2 linked regions of the Neodiprion lecontei genome follow. Each later gene encodes a partner of the first gene's protein in a complex. Links are inferred from orthologs where the notes say so. Each region holds a gene or a part of one and is shown in the gene's direction. Other genes may lie near its edges.

Region 1 (12,900 bases):
CAAAGTTTAATTTATGGAACATTATGTTTGGCATTTAGAGTCAACCATTCTGGTCAACTTTCAATTTTATATTGAAATTACATAATATCAAGTAACTGCTGACAGTAAGGGTGAAGTTCATGCAATGAACGATATGCTATCTTTTAAAACTTTGAAATCTCAATAAATTAATCAAGCATTGCATTTGTATGATAATTTAGAATCTTGAGATTGTAATTCTAAACCACATTTTTGATGCATTTGGTTATAGATTATAGATCAACAACAGTGTTTAATTTTTTTAAAGACATAAGAGTCGTCTTTGAGTTGTAACAGACTTAAGAAAATTTGATTGTACATATTATATATACTTAAACTCTATTTTTTCAATATCAACACGTAATTTGATGTCAAAATACTATTTTTCTGATGATCAATGAACCGTCATTTGCTTGGCTTGGTCGGCACACAGGAGCTTAAAGTTTTTTTATCAATGTTTCTCATGTAATAATGAACCTATTGATTTAGGTATTATTGACAAAGATGCAATTCTTCATATACAAGTGTTATTTTAATGTTTGACCTTAATTCATCATTCTCCACATATTCCTCATTTTAAAATTAAGTCAATAAGTGAAACGTAGCAGTCTCTTGCAAGGGTACGATGTTTGTTCGAAATATCTGGCAAGGAGAAAGTTGAATATTTTCAATACATGTATGAATTCATGTATATGTATATATATTTATTTTATTCCAAAAGTAATTTGAATATCATTGTGTGTGATCATTCATTTTACTTTTGAATAAATTCAAATCGATTTCTTCTCAAAACATTAATATCAACACATCATTTTACTTATATAGGATCTATTTTTCTGTGCTAATATTAAGTTAGCAAATAAATAAAGTTGCAGATGTAAGTTACAGAATAGTTGATTGTTATTCTAGGTTTGCACGCTGTAATTTCTGATAATTAACGTATGAATTGGGGTAAGACTAGTATGTGCATAACTGCTGAAATGCATTCAGGGGATTCATAGATAGAAAGAACCATAGATTACCCATTGATAACACGTTATAATAAATTTTCTAACTTGACTGAATAACTCGACGAGCTATAAGGAGTGTGCCTCAATTTTCTTCAATATCAAGAAACAATATTATATTCACCAAAATCGCGTACTACCGTTGTCACACAAGCAATTATGTTTCGTTACCTACTTTTATTGCTCCTGAAAATGATGAAATTCAATATTTTTTTGTAGACTTTTATGTAGGGAAATATTTAATATTTCCAATGCAAGAGATTTCTTTCCTTGTCCGTAACTTCGTGCAACAATTTTACTTAAATAACTTCAACTTTTTGCGATGTCGGATAATTCTAGATAATCTTAAAACATTAAAAATTATCATATATGTGTGTGTGCGTGTATTTACCTATGTATGTACTTATGTACGTACGTATGTATGTATGCATGTATATATGTATGTATGTACAGAAAAGTTGTTTTGTATGAAACTAAAGCGGTTTTAAAATAAAGTCACAACCTGCACACTTCTTCACTGGATGCACTTGCGAAATCGTCAAATGATCACTTATAGTCATAACTCTAATAATATGTTACGTACACTTTCAAATTATAATCGTTCCATAATAAATTAAAACACATTTTTTCTGTATGAATTATGTACCTTTAGTGTTTACATTCAAATAATAGTATGATAGACCAAAAGGTACTGGATGACAGGGAGTAATTAATAGTATAAAAATAAAAAAATTAATCTGTTCGCTGACTCAGCTTCTCGATAAATACCTAATTTGACTAAATCTGCACCGGCAGTCTTAGAAATTCTGGGATGCCACCAACAGTAACAAATTTACCAAATGATCTATCTGATATAATCTCTAAATTGCTGGAGAGTGCAACAATCTAACGTAAATATTCAACAATATAACAAATGAAATACGCTTAATGAATGATAATACTTATCATAAATCACGCATAACTTTAGATTACAACTCAGAAAATGATTTTCACAAAAATGAATGTGAATTAAAATTCTTCACATTAGCAAATTTTTGTTTTGCTCTATTACGTTAATGAGTTTTAGCTACAGAATGCTATACAAGTCTACCATCACATTATATTTCAGAATCGATCATACAAATTCATTGAATGTTTTAAATGCTCGTGACATTATTGCGTTAAATGAAAGAAATGACTTTTGAAAATATTTTGTAAGGTTTAAGAAATACTATATTAACAAAGCAAACAGTAGAATGACCAAAATCTATTCTAATATAAACTTTGCACAGTTGTTATTCTATTAAACCGTATAATTATACCTTTTGCCACAAACCATATTTTTGTAGATTTACTTTTGAAAAAGGGACTTGAAGTAATATACGTATAATTTTGATACATGCAGCTGTGTCGTACAGTGCACCAACGTGTATATTTTTTGGGTTTTTGAGGAATTGAAGGAAACATTTTCTATTGTTATTAAATTTAGAATAGGTATTACTGTAATTACACGTTAAAACCAAAGTCGACATGCAAGATAATTATCTCTACATGTCATATAACTCTTAATCACTTCAAAGCCAAATTAAGTAATTGAGATACATAATAATAAATTACCTATATCACGTGTAAAATGCGAAAACTAGAAATTGCAATAAACTGCTAATTATTAGTTCTCCTGTAATCCAGTACCATTTTCCCCAGCTAGTAATGTCAGAAAAAATTAAATTGAACTATACAATCTACCCATAATACAACGATTGATTATTAACAAGCAGTCCAATTGCATAGATTCTCTGACGTCAATTATTGTTTCATTATTTTTTTTGGGTCAAAAGTAATAACACAAACAATTCTTTCTTCTTTTTCAAATTCGACACTGCACTTATGCGCTACTCCACTGCGCATGAATAAAATAGTAAATGGGGAAAAAAATTACTTACACAAAATGATGTTGATGAAAAAAAGATAATGATCTTGAATGACAGCGAAATTCTCACGATACATGTTTATGTGGTGGAAATTGTGATTTGGCATGGATCGTGACAGCTGTCAAACTTCCATATGTTTCGAAGGTGGATGAGTTATAAACGGTTCACTCCACATGCGACGTAAATCCCCCTGTAATGTATAAAATTAGGAGCCTTCAATAAAAATATCAAACAGTTAATTGTAGTAGAAATGAAATCAACATTCTTCATTGAGTAAAGATTTGGTTACTACTTCCCATTTCTCATTGAGAGGGAAAGAAGAATACGTTCAAGCGTACCAAACATTAAAATTATTACCTTCAGATAAGCCATGGTAAGTAGTGGCAGTAGTGTGAAAGGTACGAGGTAGAGGAGTGCTGGTTGGGCTGCTTTGAAGACTTCGGAACTGACGGTTGCAGTGAGTAGTCCAAGAAAGTAGCCAATCAACGAACAATGGAAGTAACTAATGCGACTTAAATGGCGTGGCGGAGGAACACCTGTTTCACAACCGCCCGGCAATAACTGGCTTTTTTTATATGCATCATAACGTAGGACGAAACAGAGCAGTAAACCTGGCATAACCACGTCTCCAAGACCCAGCATTGAAAAATGCCCTGCTTGATGCATAGATGGGAATACTAGCTTGCCAGGTAGAGAGAGTTTAGGAGCTTCTCTGGCTACACCTCCTAAATGCAATCTACGTGCCACCAAACCGACTGGATTATCTGCAGGGCGTGTTGCGACCTGTGGAAGATAAATGTTGATGTAATGAATATTTGGATACAATAATAAATAAAGTATAATCATCTTTCGTAGAAATCTAAACATTATCTGCATGAAAGTTCGTGGTTTTGATCACCTGTAAGCCAAGTACCAACCTTAACCATGACGTTTGTGCTGAATATATAGGACGAGAAGAAGACCCAAAAAACATCATATATGAGGAGTCCCGTTAAAAGTAAAGTGGAAACTTTGAGACTTGGCAATCGGACAAATGCTATGAATGCGACGCACAGACCCATTCCCATGGCATCCATCAACAACCAATGACCAGTGAGTACCCAGATGCACACGATGCTCACGCTCAGGGAAAATGACAGTAGCTCCGCACCTGTGAATCTCCCACACATACCAAACGATATTTTGTTCCCATCAGAACAAGGTCGGATGATATATTGACACATTGGTAACAGCAAGAAAGCCAGCGCTACCGTAGCTATAACTGGAACAAAAACATGAAAATGTTTTCAATGCTTTGGCAGTGAAATTTCCAATTTTCGATTATACTGAGGTGGCAACATTCTCATCTGAGAAAAATTTAAGTGAGCTAATCAACGATTAATTTACTTCTAGTACACAAACAGCACAGTTTGATTATTATGTATAAACCATACGTATTGTATGTATGAGGGATTGGGAGGAAAAATGAAAATTTATCTTTTCTTTTCGAATAAACTATTGCATATTAAAGTAATACTCACTTGCAGTGCATATTGCAAAGAGCATTTGCATGCTGTCGAAGAAAAAGAACATGATCAGAAGGGAAACTGAAGCTCCGAGAGGCAAACATAGAGCGTGCATAGTTTCTAGAGTTTGAACGCCTCCGCCATTAGCACAATCGGAAGGTCCCGTGCTAACTATTCCTGACAGCAAATTAGTTCGTTCTTTCTCTTTCTCTCTTTCTCTGGCTTCTTGTTCCATGTTTAGTGATCGAAAACTGCCGTATACAATCAACAAAATTGATATCAAAAATGTTGAAACTCTGGAAGAATCCATGATGGAATAAGCCCTGTAAAAATGTGAAAAAGCTATTTGTATATCTGATGGCGTCTTATAACCATATTTTCTATTATGCATACCTATGTATTTATATCGTGCATTTAAATAAATATTTCACATCTGACTCATGACTGACAAAACTTTTTGTACTCACCACTGATAATCCACTTGATTTGTGGCCATCTTTGACGAGCCTATGGCCGTAGCTCTAAATGCTATACTGAAACACTGCGTGTCATTTAGATTTCCTTTTCCATCCGAGCTGAGTGGTTCCTTAGATCATCTACAGCCACAGCTGAAAACAAAGTTCAATAGGAATCAGCGGAAGATGAATGAAAACTGTATTTCATAAATATAAAATATAGTTAACAAAGAAAGTTTTTAATTCTACAGTTTGTTCAGTCATCGCCAATTTTACTCCAGCTAATTCAAAACGGACATAACAAAATATGCAATATAATTATTCAAGAATGTATCAAACTGAATTGAACACTAGATCTGTATATTAGGCCAAATCGATTTAAAAGTTGATATTGGGATTTATATTTTTAAAGTTTTCTGGCAATAAGACTAACTTTGTACTCGTGCAATGACCAAGGGGTAAAATAATGAACAATAATCATACTATTCATCTGTATTGAACTGCTGTATTTATGAGTAAGGACGATACTGAACTGAAACCCAATAGATTGTTCTTAATTATAATAACATTGAATTTACTTAATTTATTATGTAAATTGAACTCGCTATTTTTTTAACAATTGAAATTTTTTCAGGTGAAATGTTATTGTTAGATCTGTGTGCACAATTGGTGCAGTCATATAGCTATGTACACATTGAAAAGTTTATCAGCCGCAAACTTAAAAAGACGTGCCGTCCTGAAGTGTAAATAACAGGGTCGACTTGTCCTTTTGAACTTCATTGACACGAATTCATTCGAGAGAATCACAACAAAAGCAGGTGAGCTTGAACTAATATTGTAGATATGTACAACAGTCACAACATGTGAAACAATGTTGGTAAGCAGCATCAGTGGTAAGCGTAAAGAGAATAAAGATGGAGAAAAAAAAAATTATATTGACAGCAAACTATAGCACATTACCTAGAATTAAAGAATCTCAGCATAACAGCAGGTGCAGTACCGTGTAGTTCTTTAAAGCCATTCAAGACCTTCGTCTAGCACCTGCCACACAAATACACACCGTAAAGTTGCACCCAAAATGGAGTTCATTGTCCGTGATAATTCTACAATGAGATGACAAAAAAATCACAGCTGTAAGATAAATACTCGATAATAACGTGAACGGTGGATAATGAGCGAAAGGTGGCGAAAATGGAAGAATCTAGTCAGTTTATCTAGTCTATTTCTGCTCAGCAGTTCCGTGTTGATTGAGAGAATGCTCGGTAGTTCAACGATGCTAGTTCGTCTTGAAAACATTCGCATCGTAACTGATGCGAGAAAGGACATCCGTTGGGTATCAGTAATGAGACATTAACACTCGGAAACAATAGGCGGGACCTTATTTAATCATTTTTAGAACTTAAAAATTCTTGCAAAACAGTAAGAACACCATTTTGGTAAACATAAGGGTCACGTGACCCTTTGGCACCATGGAGTAAGGAACGAGGCTCTTGCTGATACCCTAGATCGGATTTCTCTTGTCGAAATTTTTCATCGAGCCAACTTCCCCTACCCTATGTCATACCGAGATTGGGTCTTTGAATAGAGATAAATAATTACACGCCAATCACCTCATCGATACTTATGAAAATATTTTCCGTCCACCATGCACCGAGAATAAAAACTTCCGAGGAATTGACACAACAATCTAACCCACCAAGCGTGAAATCGGGAATACGGGACCTCAGCAGTGAAGCTACCTACCGCTGACAGGCGCAGCTCGACTGTGCAATGCGTTTACGCGGTGTGCCTCGGCATGACATGCCTGTACACATGCAACCTTTGCACATGTTGCGTTTAGACATGATCGTATTCACGTTATTTTAATACGATATGATGGATTTTCACGCGTAGCCCGCTGATTATGCTGTGATAGTACTATTATGTGTAGTAATTTGTATGATATCAGTTGATATTATAGAAACATGCTGTCTGTGCAAAGATTGTGCGGTCTCAACTATATACAGCTAATTAGGAAATAGAAAGCCGCACAATTGTGTGCGAATTATGTTATATAAATATGTACGGCACTGGCAAAACAACGTTATAATTACGAGCCGACTGTTGTCTCAGATGAACGCAAAATTTGGGCATTATTTTATCCTTGGCCCATCACTTAATGCACAGTGAATTATTTTTTCATGCTACTCGACGTTAACTGCGTAGCACATTACCCAAAACCGACCGTGGTTTCGTGATAACTGATAACTTATTATCCCTCAAATAGAATCATAAAATTGAACTTTCCATTTTTCGAATGCACTACGAATTGCGCATGCATGCGTATTTCTTCTTTCGCCCCTCCAGCCGTTGTACCAACACTCACATGAAATTTGTTAACTTCACTCGCATTGGCACACAGATTTTTTTAAAAGGTAGCGGCCATGGCGACCGTGCAGATCTTTCGACAGACTGGTAATAATAATTTCATTAAAACCCGCAAACACAATTGTCATTGAATAAAATTTTACGTTCTGGCCAATGGCCTTTGTTTGAAGTCGAAATCCATTAACCAAGTTCTGTGTAAAGTGAAGATTATTGTGTAATAGGTTCATAACCTCAAAACCGTTATGAAATACTAATTTTACTATTATTTGGCAATATCTTCTAAAGAAATTTACATACGTCTTTTGAAAAATATCTGAATTTTAGGTAAGCAGCTTCTGGGTGCAGCTCGCTGTGCAGTTGCTACCAGTCCTTCGATTCGGAACAAGTACTACATTGTTACTCCACCAGAGGAGTCGATGGAATGGAATGATGTTACGGATCGCGCAGTGAACAATATGTTCCTCTTAGAAATCTTTCGAGGAATGGGAATCACTTTTTCTTATTTGCTAAGAGAACCAGCTACTATAAATTATCCTTTTGAAAAGGGACCTTTAAGCCCTAGATTCAGAGGAGAGCACGCGCTAAGAAGGTGACTATTTCAAGCTTTAATCACTTGTTATTAGTCAAGTTGTTATCATTACTAAAATTTTGTAAAGGTACCCATCAGGCGAAGAAAGATGTATCGCATGTAAACTATGTGAGGCTATTTGTCCAGCTCAGGCAATTACAATTGAGGCAGAGGAAAGGCCAGACGGTTCTAGACGCACAACTCGTTATGACATAGATATGACCAAGTGCATTTATTGCGGGTTCTGCCAGGAAGCTTGTCCTGTTGATGCCATCGTGGAGGTATGAAAGAATAGGCATATTTTTAAATCTTACCTCATTTGACTTTTGATTGCCTTAGTAACATTTCGTTTCGCTTAAGGTTATGAACACGATATAAATTGATACACTATCAAAAATCAGCCTAAGCATACTTTATGCTAACGAATGAGCGCACTAGTTTTCGTTGAAATGAACTATTGACATCTAAGATTCGAAATATTGATCACTCTCACAGAAAGTTAATACTTTTATACAAAAGATGGCATTTTGTAAAGGTATTAGACGAAGAGAAGGCATTAAATAAGGCATTATTCTGTTAAAAAAAAAAATTAAACACGTTCTGTTGCTAACTGGAACTTCATTTATAATTTAATGAAATTCAATTATTAATTCTTTCTTCAGGGACCTAACTTCGAGTTCTCCACTGAAACTCACGAAGAAATGTTATATAATAAAGAGAAGCTACTCAACAATGGAGATAAATGGGAATCTGAAATAGCTGCAAATATTCAAGCAGATCACCTTTATCGCTGAACCAAGTTCAACTACTTAGTCATCTTGTAAAATCCAAATAAACGTAAAATCTAGTAAAATAATACAAGCTGTTGTTGAATGTAAATACTACTTACTTATTTTAACTTGCAATACAGTAGGCAATGGCTACTCTTGTAATTAGGGAGTCACCAAATGCTCCTTGCCCCAAACTCTGTGAAGCAGTACGTCGATGATAACTTGAAAAATAAAAGTTTTAGACAGATTGTCTGTTTTGAGTTTTTTTTTCTTTTTTTTTAAATTACTATACCTTTTATTTTTAATCATATTCAATTGCATACGAATGTGTCCAGACATTTCACACTTACATTACACAGATTACTCGGGAAGCACGCCACTTATTTCTATAATAATAAATAATAATTACATATCAATAATAACAACAATATATATAAACAACAATAATGTGTTGATCAAATAATATTCTAATCACCTGATACAGTACACATTATTTAGTTGTAATTTTGGAACTAAATTTTATTCTAATGAAGAATGTCATTTATTAACAATCATTCTGCTGAACACGTTCTTAGTTTCTTGTTGACCGTTCTAATCGGTGCGACATAATTCATTGCTTCACCATAATGGTATTACCTAATTGATTCCCGTAGCTATTTAAATTAAATCACTTTTACGGAATTCTATAATTGTTTTTTTTCCGGTCGGATGTAGTTTTAAAAAATATCGAAAATGTATTTCAATAGGTACTGATGTTCGATTTTTTCTATCTGCAACACCATGTTAAAAATCAGGATAGTAAATTGTTCGCTAGTAGTTTGATAATAATGCCTAGCCTATGACCTATTTTATCGTTTGAGTAATACAAATGGCAGACAATATCCGCCTCTTATCTAACTATGTCTTTATAGATTTCTTTCAAATTGCATATTTCGCTTCCTTACTTTTAGATGTTACCATTTACGCCCAAGAACACGGTTGAAAATAACGATTCACCCATACAGTGTGAGTGTGTGTCCAATGATTTTTAAATCTTTTGTGATTTTATGAAAAAAATTTGAATTAGATACAGAGATGCCTATATTACAAATAACTATTATATATGAAAATCCCCGCGTTCATACAAAAAGTGTAGTGGTATCTTTATGACTTCTTACTTTTTGCAGATCAAGCACGCAAAATTTTCTTACTCACAATACCGTTGATTTTCTTTTATTTTCCCACCATGAAATCACTGCGTAATACTGCATCAAATGTAGGGATCTGGCTTTAGGATAAATAAAAATCCAATTTATGATTTGTCCTATGGTTCTGCGGTTCCATTACTATATTGACGCATTAAGATTACCGTGGACTGTTACAGTTCATAAATTAACTATGCTTATGTCTATAATGATCAAGGCCTTTATATGTCGATGTGGATTACTTTGACGCAACACAAATACTACGTGCGACGAGTGTATTGAAGTCTTTAAATAACATCATTTATCAAGTTCTTGAAAATCACAAGTCTTCCATTAAAAATGGAAAGTTTATATTGTTGTGATATTGGCTATTAGGTACAGTATAAGCATACGGACAATGTAAAAATGAAATACCAATTCATATAGTAGACTTTGTGTCGCTTCAGTAACTTCAGAAAGCATCCCATTGCGACATGTACTTAGTTTTTATGCCATGTTTAGCTGGACATGTCTATTGATGTACCAGGCTCAACTTATATGTACTACCTTAAACCCAAAAGTACTATTTATGAAAAAAAAAATCACCCTCTCAATGACATTTGTAATTAGGAAATAATAAATAATTTTGCCTTTCTGTATTACCAGAATAAGCCCCAACTAACAACATGATCTTCACTCATTGCTAGTAGCACACCAATTGAGCAAACCATTCTTTTTAGTATCCGCTCTAACATGTATACCTAGATTGGCTAACCTAGCTACATAGGTATCAAAATATGAAATGATATCTCACATGATATCTGTTAGTCATTGTTCATTTCTGCGCATAATAATCGACGAGTAGTTCTTTTCATTTTTGGAAAATACTCGAATCATCTATGCACGTCTTTGCCTATGGTGTAAGTTTCTATTCCATCAGTGCTACCTCCCACCGTTTAAGAGTTATTTTTCAGTCCGTGTTCAATTTTCTTCTAAAGATTAATCAGTTGACGACTTTGTACGTCGACGATGGTGGTTACGTGCCAAAGCATGTATAATTGTGACGAGAAAGTAGCACACCATCAACATGACGAACTTGTCAAAGAGCCAAGAAATTGTTGTAGATCCTTCCTAAAAGTGCAAATCATTGATTATACAGTATTTGCATAGCCGAAATAAATTGCATTCATTCGAAATCTAAGTAAAATAAGATACCAAATCAACATAATATTGATCATTATTTTGATACTTACTATAGAGGATTTGTCATGCAATTTTTGTTTCTGTTCAATAAGATACCGCTTCAAGGGTTCTTGAAACTTTGGGCCAATGACTGGAATAATTGCTAACAAAGCAATTACTTTATCTAAAAGTTCCTCGTTGAATGCCACAATTACTGCTAATTGCTGTATGTGCATTTTTACTACAGCTTTTCCGACTAGTGTTGCACCAAAAAAAGTCCAGAATGGAATAAGATAGTGTCCACAAGTTAATCCGGCAAGATCGAACAACGGATTTGGTATCTATAATGCAAATATTTAATTACAATCGCAAGTTTCACTTTTATCGTGAAATAAATGGATATTGGGTATTGTAAAATTACCGATGCACAAGCAAGTATTCCTAAGAAGCCAGCCTTTTGGACAAAATGTTTCATTGCTAGTTTGGCACGCATTCCCAATGAAACACATTTTTCTCCATTTTCCAGTGCCTCCAATGCTTCGAGTTCTCTCAACTCTTCTTGATCCTGACCTTGGTCGTGATCTTTATCGCTTTGCCGACTAAGTCGTGCAGCTCGTGCCATAAAATAAGGTGGCAATTCCCCCAAAGCTGTACCAGCACCCCACAGCATTGCTTCAATGCGTACTTTTCTCATGATATTCAAGACGCTGGCCGTCCATGCTGGATCTACTGTAGATGGACACACGATCTGGTCTGGATAAGGAGGCTCGGGAAAATTTAACCCTCCGCATTCATAAGCTGCCATCGTCACAGAGGCTATGTGAGGTCCCAAGTACAAGACAAAAGTGTGAAGCCCAGTTCCCAGGCCAACGCTCGATAATACGCCTAGTCCTACCCAGTAGAACCACCATACGACGGTGGCCTCCCAGGATTTAAACAGCTGTGGTAACCAGGTTAAATAAGTTCGGGTTGATCCACTTGTACGATAGATATATTTTTACATTGAAATCTATTATTTATTTAATATAAGTCTGTGGTGCTCTTTTTTTTGTTTCGAAACTACACACTAGAATTTTGCAGAAGAAAATATGAAACTTCAATGCTCTGTTCTCATTGTTTAATAAAGGTCTAGTAATATCTAAATATATTAAAAATTATCTAAAGTTTTGGTATTAATCATAGTTATATGGATATTCAAAAATATAATCTCACCTGTTGTTGTGGTCCAGAGACTCTGCTCGAAAGTAAAAATAATCCGGCGATCATTATTATACTCCATACTGTTTTTCTATATTTGAAAGTGTTTTTTGTTAAACTAACAACATTGATAAGTAATTCTTGTAGAAAAAAGTTCAATGTTTTTATTGGATGATGCCATAGCGTTAAGCTATCGGGATCTACATCCAAATCACTGTTTTGGTTGGAATGCAAATGCGATTGTGAAGTATGGGAGGATTTCTTTGCTGCCGGTGTACTTTGTCGAGTACCATTTGTAGCAGTTGAAGTATCCTTAGTACGTCTGACGGCTGATGTGTTCTCCGACATTGTAGCTCCCAACCGATTTATCTGATGGTTAAAAACAAGAATGATTCAACGAAAATTGTAAGTTGAACAAGAGAATTTTCCATTATTAGTAACATCTATGCTAGGTCAAAATTAACAAAGCTACTTTAGTGCGGGATTACAATACTGTGATTGCAATTGGAAATTTATGCTTGTCAGCACAAATAAAATTGCAAAATTTGCAGAATTACGACATGGCTGAAGTATTACTCAGCAGGATTTCTGACATAAATTTAGTTCAACTAATTTAAACACACGAACAATAAGACCTAAGGTTCCAACTATTTGGGTGAGGGCATAATAATTCAGTATTCAAACTCTCACTATCCTTGTCAATGATTTCAAGGCCTGTGTCACAGTCGTAATGTTGGCTTTGAAACTGGCTTCACTTA
Region 2 (13,153 bases), on another chromosome or scaffold:
TATCGCAAATCTTGAATGCAAAACAACTTAATGCATTCTCATAATGTTAGAGTTTCGACACTTGCAGACGTTTGTAAGATACAATTAATTCTGTTTTTAAATTTTACCGAATCCGAATGAGCGCAATGAATGATCCAACTGAGATTTTTTGCAAGTTCGTAGCTTAGAATATTTTGAATGAAGATTTTTGAATCCTTTTTGTGGGCAGCGTTACTTTATTTACATTTTCTTTTCATACTAAAATTGATCTGTTCCAGTAGAATTATTGTATTAACTTGTATCAAACTTTGCGTGGTACATAAGACTAAGATTGCTGTAGATATTCGACGCGGAACGAATTGCCCCTAAAATAACTTATTTCCTAAGATTAACGTCTGCACGGGTCTCTTTTAAAAACTGAGAATGCAACGTATTATCCGACTCTGTAACAAGACACTCGTGATAGCTTATTAAGTCGTAGAAGCCTTCATTTTACACAGAAATCGCAGGTGCAGCATCTTAACAGCGTCTGTACTAAGTTTAACGACCCCTTCTTGATTATCAATAGAAAGAAGAATTCCTACTGCTTCTCTATCTTCGCCGACGACAACTTTGACCTGATCGCCGCGAGATGGAACGACAGGCTCTAGTTGCTCGCATAAAAGATTCACCACTCTGTCTTCGGCAGGCAGAAAAACTGCGCACATACCACCCTGTAAAAAAAATGTGGAATAGTTTATTTGTTACAAAGAAACTAAGCGATATTACGTAATGATTTTGGTATCAGTTTGTGCACATTCTTAATCTTCTTGCAATGGTGAAAGTTTAAAGCTGATGTAATTTGTTGACGACTGTGACGTTTTTCACTCAAGTATAACTTACCGATATTCCACGGATTACTCCTTGCTGTCCTGCTAGAGCCGGATCCTGGTGAGTATCGCGTATCCGTACTTCTATATCCGGGGTATGCCATTCCGAGCCCATCATCATACCACTACTAGCCCCAGTGTCAAGTCCGGCGCCGGGTGTTTGAGGGTTGTAAGGACTGCCCGCAACGCCTGTATATTCGAGTGAAAAAATTATACAAAGGAGTTTGAACTAGTGGAAAAAAACATGCAGAGAATTTCCCATAAATTTTTATTAATTTACCAGGCGTCATCGGGCTATAACCCATCGGTGACGGCGATGCAAACGCGCCGTGCGGACTCGTAGTGTATCCAGTTCCCGAGGGAGATGGGGTGGCCACATAACCGGCTGGACTCGGACTTGCGCTTGCGCTTGCAGCCGGACTAGGACTCGGCTGATAGGGACTGTAGCTCTGCTCTGAACCGTACATTGTCCCGGGTGTTTGGGGTGTGAACGGACCGCCAGTCGAAGGGTAGCCAGGAGCGTAACCCGGAGACCCTCCTTCTTCCATGCTGTAATTGTCGAAATCGTTCGCTCGCGCTGGCGTGTTTGTCACAGCCGGGTCCCATGCTCCTGATTGACCAGGGGTACGAGAACCGTCGTGCGAAGGGGTCATCGAGCCATAATGAGGCGTGCGCGAGCCGTCTGCAAAAATAGAACAAGTTGAATGACATTTGCCACTGTTGTGTTTTCACTGATCATTCACCGTAGTATAAACGGTGTTTTAGATTTTTTCAGTACTCACTTTCGTACATCGGCGTTTGCGAACCGTGCATCGGAGTCTTTGAACCATCTCTAGCGTACATTGGAGTCTGACCACCGGCCGTGTAAGCCGGGGTCCGGTTGTAGCTACTGAATCCACCATCCTTGGTCGGCACGCCAACGTTCGCAATGTGTGAACGATCCACAGATATCGTTTGACACGTCGAGTGAAGTTCTACACGCGCCGTATTCTCTGTTGCGTCTTTTACTATTCCAACGTTACCTTTGTATGGCCCACCCGTTATCTTTATCGTTGTTCCGATCAGCTCTCTGTCACGTCTCGCACCTCCACCTCGGCCTCTGCCTCTTCCGCCACCTCCGCCACCTCTTCCGAACCCGCCACTGGTTAAATGAGAGCGTAAATTCATTGGTTAAATTTTTCTTGAGAGAAGTACATACGATTTTTGCGGCAAGAATTCTCATTTTAGATACCTACCCACTTGGATGCATCGGTGATGCGATTCTGGGAGACATAAATCCGGACGATGGCGACATCGCAGGGCCCATTCCAGCTTTGTTGCCTCCAGCTAGCTGAAGGTGTCTAGTTTTACATACGAATATTCCTCCGTTGTCCAGATACATTCTCGAGTGCAGAAACGCGAAACTTCTGTAAAGATGCTTGATCTCACCTCCTCTGCCTGCGTGCGGTCCATCGATTACCTTTCAAGTTAATTTGAGAATTGTGTTAACATTTTGGATACATTTTTTGGACTCGATGTTCTTAGAAAATCCGAAAACATACCTTCACTATATCCTTTTTCTGGATCGTGTTTTGCTGCGAATCTAACGCGACTGCGTTTCTGTTTTCACGACGCTTTGTAAGACCTTGAGGTCTCGCCTCGACTACTTTTCCGTTCATCGATAATACGTGAAAATTCTCGCGCTCCAATCGAACGATTACACCGACGGTCTGAACATCGAGCTGTACTAAATCACCCCATTGAAATTGACCCAGACTGTCAACGCCGGTTGCCATGTCAGAACAAAGTTGTAGATCTCGTGGGAGTACCTCTAGCTCGTGCATTGATAAATCGGAAAAAAGAACAACCCTATTTTGTTCGACACGTACAATCAGCCCCGTGTCTCCTTCGTATCTACCAGCTACTACCTGCAAATTTGAAAAATTGACAATTTGGAACCGTTTGAATAAAAGATAATACAAATACGGAATCCAAGATTTGTAAAAAGATTACCTTTGCATGATCTCCCATTCTAAAGTATTTTCTTAACTCATTTGCCTGGAATTCTAAGGCTTCTTTGAGTTCCTCGTGCTTTGGCATGACCATTATCATGTTACCATCAATTGATACAATTTTTCCTTGTAAATTCATCAATTCTCCCTCGCAAACTTCTACATTGTCGCCATTACTGAATGAATGAGTAACTGCCTGATCCTCTTTACCGGCAGAAACTCCTGTAGTCGGAGTGCCGCTTAGTTCTATGTCTATACCCTCGGGAGCTTCTTCAAATCTCTCCAGTTCAGAGAGCGTCGGTTTAACACCTTCGGCGATAATGGCACTTGTCGTGAAATTTTTGTAGAGAAATCTAAACGGTAAAAGTTCAGTTAGACCTAATTTTTTGGTGTTAGAAACTCGGAGCTTAAGTGATTAAAATAACAAACCCTTTTCGACTGTATCTGTTCCCTTCAAATATTAAAAAGTCTCCGTCGCTGGTCACCTCTCCACCGATTGCGCGGATCGCTTCTGGATCGAAAGGTTTTGCCGGTGGTCGTCTTTTCTTTTTGCGTTTCAGTGCCTCGGATTCACTTTGTGCAGTTCTTAGGGCACCTCGAGGTCTCGTGTAGTCTATTCTCGGTAGCAGTTTTAAATGTACTTGATTTTGCGCCAAATCCACATAGTCCACTTGCGCTATGTCATCCTTGTATATTCCTCTCTTTAAACGAACCCATTGCTTTGCCTTCAAGCCAGTTTGCTCCTTGACGACACGCAGTACATCCGTCATCTCCTTGATCGGAACCATTTGTTGTTTCCAAATACCCATTCTCAAATTACCGACGTTTTCTATAACGGCCTTTACATGAGGCTGTTTGTATGCCTCGATGTAAATATAACCTTTAACGCCCTCGGGCGCAACAACGGACTTTATTTGCAATGGTTCTCCTGCGAATTAAATAGGAAAGAGCGCTTAGCAAATGGAAAAATAAAATATTGCAATTGGGAAATTGAACCATCGTACCTGAAAACTGATATGTTATGAATTTTCGCATGAGTAAGAGCACGGTGGCTTTTTCTTCACCGATACGGCACTTGACCATCCAGAGATTGGGGTCCTTCACACCAGGCAAAAGCGTTTGCTGGGTAATTTCATCGCTCATTTCTTCACCCCCATCTCCAAAGTGACGCGAAACGACAGATTCGTCGGCATATTTCTTTCTGAGGTACTCTTCAATTTCATCTTCTTTCTGTGAACTAAATTCGCGGGATAGCTATTGTTAGACACTGGTCAACACTGATTATTGCACAGGTATAGATGTGGTTATTTGGCAAACTGTTCCGTGTATTTCTTGATTTTTATATCCTTATCCTTTTACTCACTCCCACAGATTTGTGCCTCGACGTCTTCCCTCAATTTCAGGTGCAGTCGGCCCCAATTCGTCCACTTCGTTTCCAACAATTCCTATCTCCTGCGCTCCATCCTCCCATTCGTCGTCATCTTCAACTTCGTCATCCACTTCAGCCTCGTCGATAATAAAACCACCAAATCTGTAAGAATAGCAGGTAAACGGAATACATGCCGTATTTCTTTAAGGATTATCAGTTAAAAAATCATCAATTAATGTATGGATCGGATCATGTAACTGACTTGTCTTTCTTCTTCTTTTTCCGGCTTGGTCTGTCGTCATCCTCGTACTCCTCCTCGTCATAATCACTGCTACCATCCAAATCTTCCCCTGAAAAAAGTACATGAGATCTCGATAATCACATCTGCCTTATCAAATCAGTCACAACTGTGTTAAAGACTCACCTTCTGGTTCTTCCTCAGCCTCAACTTCTTCATCATCACCAGAATGAGCTTCTTCAGCCTCATCCGCTCGATGGCTACCTCCAGCATCCGAACTTTTGCATGGAAAGAAAAAATATTATTCACAATTAAATTTCGGCTTAACAAGGCGACACTACACCAATGACATTTTTGTAATTTTTCATAGTTATGGTACTGAAAGGTGAGAACTCGAATAACAATTACCCAAAGCTGTTCGACACGGCCTACAGTTTTCTAGAAAATCGATTTTGAAATACTACAAACGTGTTATGTACAATAAATGGTAAGTACCCGGCAGCAAGGTCCATGGCACACCGGGTAGCATACTAGGCCAGTAATCGCTGGATCGCTGGTACGATAACTACCATGAGTAACTTTTTTATATTCATTTACTTTTTCTTTTATATGTCGGCTCACATTATTTAGGTGCGGATTTGATCAAATTTATGTTAATCAACGGACATTTCATGATTTTCAATGACAGAGACAGATCTTGCTTTTGCTTACCTCTCGCTTTAAAAGTCGGGCTTACCATTGAAAATAGTAATTCTTAACCAACAATGTTTGTGATAAATTGAATTTTTATACAAAACTTGCTAGCCTTCCTGAAATTCTGCAGAAATCTTCTGTGCAATTGCAGCTGAGTTCCGCAGGTAGGTAATTCTAGGATATCGCTGTTCGGCCCATTATGGGCTTGTGGGAGAATTTCTGCAGAATTTCAGGAAGGCTGGCAGGTTTTGTATGAAAATTTAATTTATGACAAATATTAAGAATTTCAGCAGGTACGTTATACTAGCGTGTGGGCCTACAATGGGCCAACGAGCCATTTCCTAGTATTACCTACTTGCGAGATACAGCTGCAACTGCACAGAACATTTCTGTAGAATTTCAGGAAGGCTGGCAGATTTTTTATGAAAATTTAATTTATCACAAATATTGTTGGTTAACCTTTAGACGCCCGGGATTTGTGAGTTAAAATAGCCCTTGAAAAGTACCCAAATTAGTGTCTGATATCATGTATGAACTATATACAAAATTTATATCACAGGGTCAGCAGATATATCGGTTTTCCGATCCTCTAGAGGTTAGGAATTACTATTTTCAACAGTAAGCCCAACTTTTGAAACGAGAGGTAAGCGAAAGCAAGATCCGCCTTTGTCATTGAAAATCACGAAATATCTGTCAATGAGCATAAATTTGATCAAATCGACAAGTAAGTGATGTGAGCAAAAACTTATCAGCAATTCAACGATTACTCACCTGGTACGCTACCCGGTGTACCACGGACCTTGCTGTCGGATGCTTACCGTTTAATGTACATAACACGCTCGTAGTAATTCAAAATCGATTTTTTCGAAAACTATATGCGGCGGGGTCGAATGGCTTTGGGGTATTGTTATTTCAGACCTCACTTTTCAGTACCATAGGTGTCAAAACTTACAAAAATATCATTGGCATAAAGTCCCTTTGTAAAAGAACAAGATTATTGTGCATGACTTGGTGCTTAACACAAATTTAGTATTTACTAACCCAGAACCGGAACGAGAGCGTGATCTCGATCTTGAATGACTTCTGGATTGTGATCTTGATCTGCTTCTGCTCCTACTTCTCGATACGCTACGAGAACGGTGTCCACTACCTGCGTCGCTACCGACTCCAGATTTTACCGAACGGTTGTCTTCAGGCTCGCTTTCACTTCCACCACCACCACGGCCTCCCGCGTCACTGTCATTGTCCGAAAAATTACTAGCCTCTGAATCTGACATTTTCTTTATTTCTTGGTGTGGAAATTTCGCTCCTGAAATACATGAGTAATAATTGCAGTAGCTTTAAATATGGTTGCAGCTTGTGATACTCAATAGTGCAAAGAAATTGGAGTGGTACTGAAGTTGAAGCATTGAGTAAACATTTCAACAGATAATTTAGAAACTGTTTGAGCCATATGTGAGGTTACTTGACTGGTTAAATGTGAAGAAAAGAAATTCTCACTGATAATTGGACGGTTTTCAACAGTGGCAAAGATTCTTAGCCTTAATTAGGGGACTACCGAGATTTGTTTAGTGGGTAAATACACACTCAGCACCTCATGAATGAGGTATAAAAATGGAGACAAAAGTATGATTTCTTCAATTGTATGGAATAATTACTGTTGATCGCCAGAAAAGTTTTTCTAAAATTTTACTCACCTTAACAGCAGAAAAAGAATATTATCCAACAACTGTGTTACAGTTATGAAAAATACAGTATTATGGTACAATCGCAATCAACTCGATAATAATTATCAAAGCTTCTCTCACTTCACCGAGATTCACTGAGTAACTGAATCAAACTGAATGTAAGCGTATGTATGAAGTTGGCTCGAAACGGTACTTAGAGCATAGACTACTGCAGACTACCTATGTCGGCAACTAGCCCCCCGGCACTCGACTAGATTTCAATATAACAGGCAGTCCGCCTCAACGTCCCCCGCCGCTACGTAGCGCTGATAGTAACTTGCTCTACCCCTACCCCCACTTCACCCCCCGGCGACAATCACCGCCCGCAAATCTGCTGTCAGCATTGTTTACGTTGATTCTAACCTCGACATAACGCATATAACCGATATAAACTATAGTTCTTTCTGATTTTTATTGCTTTTATTCGTACGTTTACAATGCCTTCGCCTGTTGTACCGGGCGGTACCTCTGTCTACCAAACGAACACGGAAAAATTACATTGTTTTACTGTGCCGTGTGATCCCGAAACCCTGGAATTGTCGAGGAAAGCCATTAAATGTACGGACATAATAATAAAGTCAGGGTTCTATTGTATCAATTCCTACTTCATTTTCTAGCTATGATATAAGTATGTGTAATTTCTATATAATAAATTTGGAATAACAAGATTCAAACGGGTCGTACGTAGACCCGCACATTGTGAGCAGGACTACTAGCGCCACGCAGTGGCGCGGGAGATCAAAATAGACTCGAAAAAATTGGATTGTCAGGGGGCTGTCGGTAACCTCGTAAAACTGTGGCCATAGTGATGAAACAGCGAGATATAGGTATGTCCCCGGGCTCCCCGGGTTACCCTGGATATTCTGTCTCTCTCGCTTTGCATTTTATTGGCTGAGAAAAGAGGTATCGGCGAACCAGGTTGTAGAGCGAGAGAGACAGGCTGTACATGGCGGACATGGCACAACTACTCCATCTCATGCCTCTGTCACACTTTCTGTAACCGTGAGGCTACCTCCAATAGTATATGCTCTAAGGACTGGACAAACTTCTGGGACTAGCGAATCTTCAATAAGATCCCAAAAATTCAATGTTGACGAATTGAAGACTATTTAATCGTATTCCAAACATAAATTAAAGAATCGCTATAAATTTTAGATTCGCTATCATTTGGTCATTCATCTTTATTGCTTAGCTATGGCTTAGCTTATGGTTCTAAACCGCGTATCGAATTTCTCGCAGCCATTTTGTATTTACATAATTTGTTAACATTTACATGTCTAGCTGCAGCAGACAGTCAACGTTGTTGATTTAAAAAAGATGGCGAAATTTTTTGGAGTTGATAAAGTCGTGAGATTTTTCCAGATTGTAAGAGATAATGGTGGCATACGAGGATCATTACGAGCTCTGTACAGGTTTGTATCGTACAGCGTTTTTTAACTATTGGTCGAATATTGTTTCGACCTAACCTATACTAACGTTCATTTATGCTATCAAAATATGAAGATAAGCCTCTTCGAGTTACGTATTACCATCAACGCTTGTTTTATCATTATTTTCTGTAGACGGGATGAATTGAAATCAGGAACTTTGATTGGCGAGGACAAATACGGGAATCGCTACTTCGAAAATAACATGCACTTTTATGGTAATTATTATATTGTTAAATTAATGCTGAAACATCATCTTATACCCTATTCTGTCGATCTTGTTCTTAGGTGAAGTTTAGATTTCTCAATTACTTCTTTCCCAATTTCTATCACCGGTTTTATATTTACATTTATACCTGCTATTACTGCGCAGTAAATACATCACATGATTCACAAGATGCTAACTGTAGCTGGAGCCAAATATCGTTGTATTTTCAAATAATGTTTACAACATCCAACATTCCCAGCATACAAAAGGTGTAAGCACACGCTTTGTTTAGTCGCAATCCTTAGCTGAAACAAGAGCTGTAAGACTTGGGTTTAAGCAATTTCTTTTTCTCTTCTCTTCTTTTCTTTTCTTTGTTCTTTTTTCTTCTACCCACTTACCGGTTAAAGGGAGAAGAGAAAGAAAGCAATAAGAAGTAAAGAATGCTTCAATGTCGTCTACTTTTCAAATTCACTTGGCTGTTTTATTTTTTATTACATAACCGCCTACTTTTGCCCCAGATTGCCCTTGAGCCAGACCATAATATTGACCTTGTGTAAATTAATACCTTGTGACAATTCTGTTACGAATATGAAACTACAAACATTTCCAACTGTTTGCTTCTCTTTTTCTATAACTTCGTAATTGATAAAACTCGTTTGTTGGGCCATTTTAGGACGCAATCGTTGGGTTGAATATGCCGATCATGTTGGTCTAGACTACAACGCATCTCAAGTGCCTCCCGAATGGTTCGGCTGGTTGCATTACAAGACTGATCTACCTCCATACAAGGATCCATCTCGTCCCAACTACAAGTGGATGCTTGATCATACAGAAAATATGACGGGAACGAGAGATGCTTACATGCCTTATAGTACGACTCGTCCTAAAATTGAAGCGTGGAAACCCAAGTAAGATTATTGCCAAATCTAGAGTATGATGAAAGTAGAAAATAAATTTACAAGCATTACAATCGTGAAAAACGTAGTCGTAGAGACAAGCAAAAGAAATGAAACCCTTAGCTAAATTATTTCGTATATGTAACATATATTATAGTACGCTGTGTGTACAATTGTTGCAAATAAATCGCATCTCTATTAACTTCAATATATTTACAAATTGTGTCAATATATGAAATATGAACCAGACTATCCTCATGGTGTTCTTTGAATGATTGATATCTTCCCAAATTTTTATTTCTTATCATTTAATATATATATATATATATATATATATATATATATATCACAAAGGTAAAGAAGAAAAATTTTATTCCAAATTCAGTGCATTTTCAAATCTGATCCTGCTCTATTTTTTGCTGATAACGAAAACAATAATAATACTTGTTGTTATAATAAGTAATATTATTGACACAAATTATCGGTATTGACGTTATTTCTATTATTATTGTCATTATTATTGTAGTGAAAATAACGCGGTGTGGGATTAAGAAATTACGACCATGCGCTGTATTTCAAGATATGAATTGCGTGCGTAGCTGCCGATTTTATTTTGCACTTATTACGTAGAGTCCTTGACTTTCACATACAGCTGATTTGGCGGTGAGGGAAGTGGAAGAAGAAGAAGAAGAAGACTACAGTGAAGAAGAAAAAAACGATGTGAAGAAATAAGGAGTTAACTGGCGTTGTTCTGTAACATAAAACGCGCGAGATGCGAAGAAGATAGTAGTAGTAGAGAAGAGGAGAATGGGTGCTGCAGAAAAAAAAAGAGTAAAAATTGATCGGAAATGGGGCGACGAGGCAAGGACAAATTTTAATCTACGTATTGCACACAGCATAAGCATAATGCACGTGAATCGGCATTCATATTGAAAGCTGAAGGTGATCAGGCAGGATCCGGTGATGTCCGGCGAAAACTGGCGCGAACTCTCGCAACCGATGAGCCACTTTCTCATCCTCACTTTATACATATACGTACACGTATATGGAGGTACATTAATTTCTTTTTACATTCATACTTTATAAATGTATATATTTACGGCACGTGTTACGATAAACGTGTTTATCTGATTCTGATGTAAAAATTAATGAATTATCGATCGCGCAGCGAGAAACCCCAGTGATGTGCCTTAATTAGCAATCAGTCGAAACGAATGACTTTGTACAGGGTTGGGCTCGCGCGTAAGTTAAACACTGACGCAGCTATGTAATTCTAATTTAAGAACGCACCGCGTCCACATCGTCGGGCAAACAGTGTAAATATGAGTTGAAGAGTATTATTCTCGCAGACAAATGCAATTCTCGAATTTCAAAGCACAATCTTGGAACCACGATTTGTTCTGAGATGTGAACGAGTCAAACACGTGTGACTGGTCAGTTTCCAAAACCAACCCGAAAAGTCGAAAAGAAAATACTCGACCATTTGATAAATGAATTTGAATTATGGTATAAAATCAACATGGCCCCTGTTTGCCTCTCGATTCGAATTCTATTTTGGCTCTAAAATGGTTTCCAGCGCTGGTCGTTTTACAGACGTTATTACACGCCGAACAGAATCGCGGCAAGAATAGTTTAGTTACAAATTCGCTGCCGACGAAAGCCCAGCGAACCGAAAATTTAGATTGCGAAATTCTATCATACGCGCCCTCTCCGCTGTTTGCAATTGACCCGCGACATCATGTACCGCAGAACAATTATATCGTCCAATTAATTGTACTGTCTAATACGTGCGTTGACGCCTTCTTCGTCTCTTTTCCACTATCCGCCTTTAACCATCTACCCGTCGGTCGTAAGCGGTATTCGTGTTTGTCCATTTATTAACGATCAATTTTGCTCAATATATCTTTTATTAATAGTAATATCAGGAGCAGCGTGACGCCCTTCTCCTTTCTTCGTGGCCACTCATCCTTATTTTCTTCCTATTAATTATCACCCTCGGCTCTATTTCAAGGCTCTGGCTGTTGTACAATTAGCCGTAATTAGACATAAATCATCAGAACGAGGAAAAAGGGATGCTTTACCCAAGTTGATTTCAAAGGCGATCGTCTTTTGAGAAATTTTTCATTTAAAAACTGCAAACCTGCTTCGTTAGGGTAACATTTTATCCACACAAAGTTCATCTGTCCCTTTATCTATTTTCCATATTATATGTGACAGGCATATTTTATTTGGTAAAGAGACCTCGTAAACTGGAAACATGTTTTCGTATAAAAGGAAAATTCATTCCAAATTTTCTAGTTTTTCAATCATTTTTTATAATTTTTTTTTTTTTGCAACTGATTTTGCGAACGCAACATCTTTCGAGAACTTCGAGTATGGTGTTACGGGTGTACTTTTCTTGTTTTTTTCTCCCGTGTTTGCGGTTTTTTGTTTATCTATTTGTATGTATACAGCAATGTTGGGCATTTTTTTCTTCCCTGGCTTTTTTTATTTTTTTTTTTTTTTAATTTCACTCACGATTCTTCCTCCTCACCTTTTCGCCACTCTGTCGTCTTTTTCTCACAGCCAAGAATATAAATATGGAGATTAAGTTCTGACTGCTGTTTAACCTTGGAATTAGCATGGGAGAAGCTGAATTTATCGTACCTACAGAAAGATTTTGCCCTCCGTTTTTCTTCTCCTCTTTTAAAGTTTCTTCCTCGTTCTTTTCATTCGTCATCTTCGTCTCTTCGTCTGTGACTTCGTCTTCCTTCGACTCTGTAGTTCGTGCAGGAATTCGCATTGCATACATGTAGGTTGTTGCGCGTTCACAATATATTCCTATTTGCAACATTTCGATGCATCGTTACGTCACAAATTAGCTACCGATTCTTCAATTTTTGTGCATATAATATGTATCCCATTTATGACGCGTATGTACATACAAATACATGGGCACTCGTAACACCTGTGAGTGCATATTCGTATGTTATTAAATCTCGCTCGGTTCCCACGAAACCTGTTTTCCACGCATTGAAATCGTTCTCGTTTTATATATGTATGTATACCACACACCGCATGTACGGCGATGAATCACTAATTCTTTTTAAAAAAAAAATCACCGTACACTCTGGTGTACATATGTACTACATATACACATAAACATATACGAACGTGCGCACCTTGCACCGGTTAAACCACCCACCTAAGTTATAGTGAAGACACGCGGATAATAGGAACGGGGTATTCGTTTTTATTCCCATTATCATTAGATATTACGTATGTACAAACGGGAGAATTTTGTCTCTCCCTTGACAGAAGGAGGTCGGTATGTGTTAATGCGTAATTTACGGCTCTCTCTCTCTCTGTCTCTGTCTCTTTTTCGTCCTCTCTCCTTCTTCATATACTTCTAGGAATCAATTAGTTATTAGATATTCACGGACAAGAAGTAATAACGTCAGAGGAAACTACGAATCGTTGAGACAGTTTCCTGCATTCCGCGGAGAACACTCATTGTACTTTGAAGTATAATATCAGAGTATACCTACTTGAGTTTTCGTGCCTGAAAATAGGATAAAGTGATCTGCATTTATTGCAGGATAAAAAATAAGGGAAGGAAAAATGAAACGATTCGTTGTTGAACAATTTGTTCACAGTTGGAAATAATGACGAGAAGGATGACGAGGAGGAGGAGGAAATAAAATGAGGCAATATAATAGCCGTTTGATTTTCAATATATGCATCATTAGCTAATGGTAATGATAATTGAAAGATTGT

The links.
Region 2: the proteins of NADH-ubiquinone oxidoreductase subunit 8 (region 1) and probable NADH dehydrogenase [ubiquinone] 1 alpha subcomplex subunit 12 are in contact, whole or in part, in a cryo-EM structure (PDB 8ESZ), measured with the Drosophila melanogaster proteins. The link is inferred for Neodiprion lecontei from reciprocal best matches to the Drosophila melanogaster genes ND-23 and ND-B17.2. Residues at the interface, in NP_524719.1 of Drosophila melanogaster: Glu85, Pro86, Ala87, Thr88, Ile89, Asn90, Pro92, Phe93, Glu94, Lys95, Gly96, Pro97, Leu98, Ser99, Pro100, Phe102, Arg110, Tyr111, Pro112, Ser113, Gly114, Glu136, Thr148, Arg149, Pro176, Asn177, Phe178, Glu179, Phe180, Ser181; in NP_001137770.1 of Drosophila melanogaster: Arg32, Asn33, Asp34, Asp35, Lys37, Phe58, Tyr59, Gly60, Arg61, Arg63, Trp64, Ile65, Phe67, Tyr75, Asp76, Gly77, Ser78, Ile80, Pro81, Ala82, Glu83, Tyr85, Gly86, Met88, His89, Tyr90, Lys91, Thr92, Cys101, Arg102.

What each region holds. Positions count from the first base shown.
Region 1 is NC_060262.1:34,782,693-34,795,592, reverse strand, and holds NADH-ubiquinone oxidoreductase subunit 8, read left to right. Parts: upstream 1-7,195; 5' UTR 7,196-7,318; coding exon 7,319-7,349; intron 7,350-7,586; coding exon 7,587-7,851; intron 7,852-7,918; coding exon 7,919-8,111; intron 8,112-8,492; coding exon 8,493-8,624; 3' UTR 8,625-8,848; downstream 8,849-12,900. Other genes in the region: signal peptide peptidase-like 3, read right to left, coding at 3,057-3,125, 3,293-3,718, 3,853-4,196, 4,456-4,763, 4,908-4,936; vacuole membrane protein 1, read right to left, coding at 10,763-10,894, 11,017-11,286, 11,367-11,885, 12,158-12,511. UniProt on the Drosophila melanogaster protein: Core subunit of the mitochondrial membrane respiratory chain NADH dehydrogenase (Complex I) that is believed to belong to the minimal assembly required for catalysis. Complex I functions in the transfer of electrons from NADH to the respiratory chain.
Region 2 is NC_060263.1:15,074,611-15,087,763, reverse strand, and holds probable NADH dehydrogenase [ubiquinone] 1 alpha subcomplex subunit 12, read left to right. Parts: upstream 1-7,922; 5' UTR 7,923-8,183; coding exon 8,184-8,278; intron 8,279-8,428; coding exon 8,429-8,511; intron 8,512-9,174; coding exon 9,175-9,413; 3' UTR 9,414-9,605; downstream 9,606-13,153. Other genes in the region: transcription elongation factor SPT5, read right to left, coding at 450-692, 862-1,037, 1,129-1,530, 1,631-1,989, 2,084-2,307, 2,390-2,755, 2,841-3,192, 3,269-3,767 and 5 more.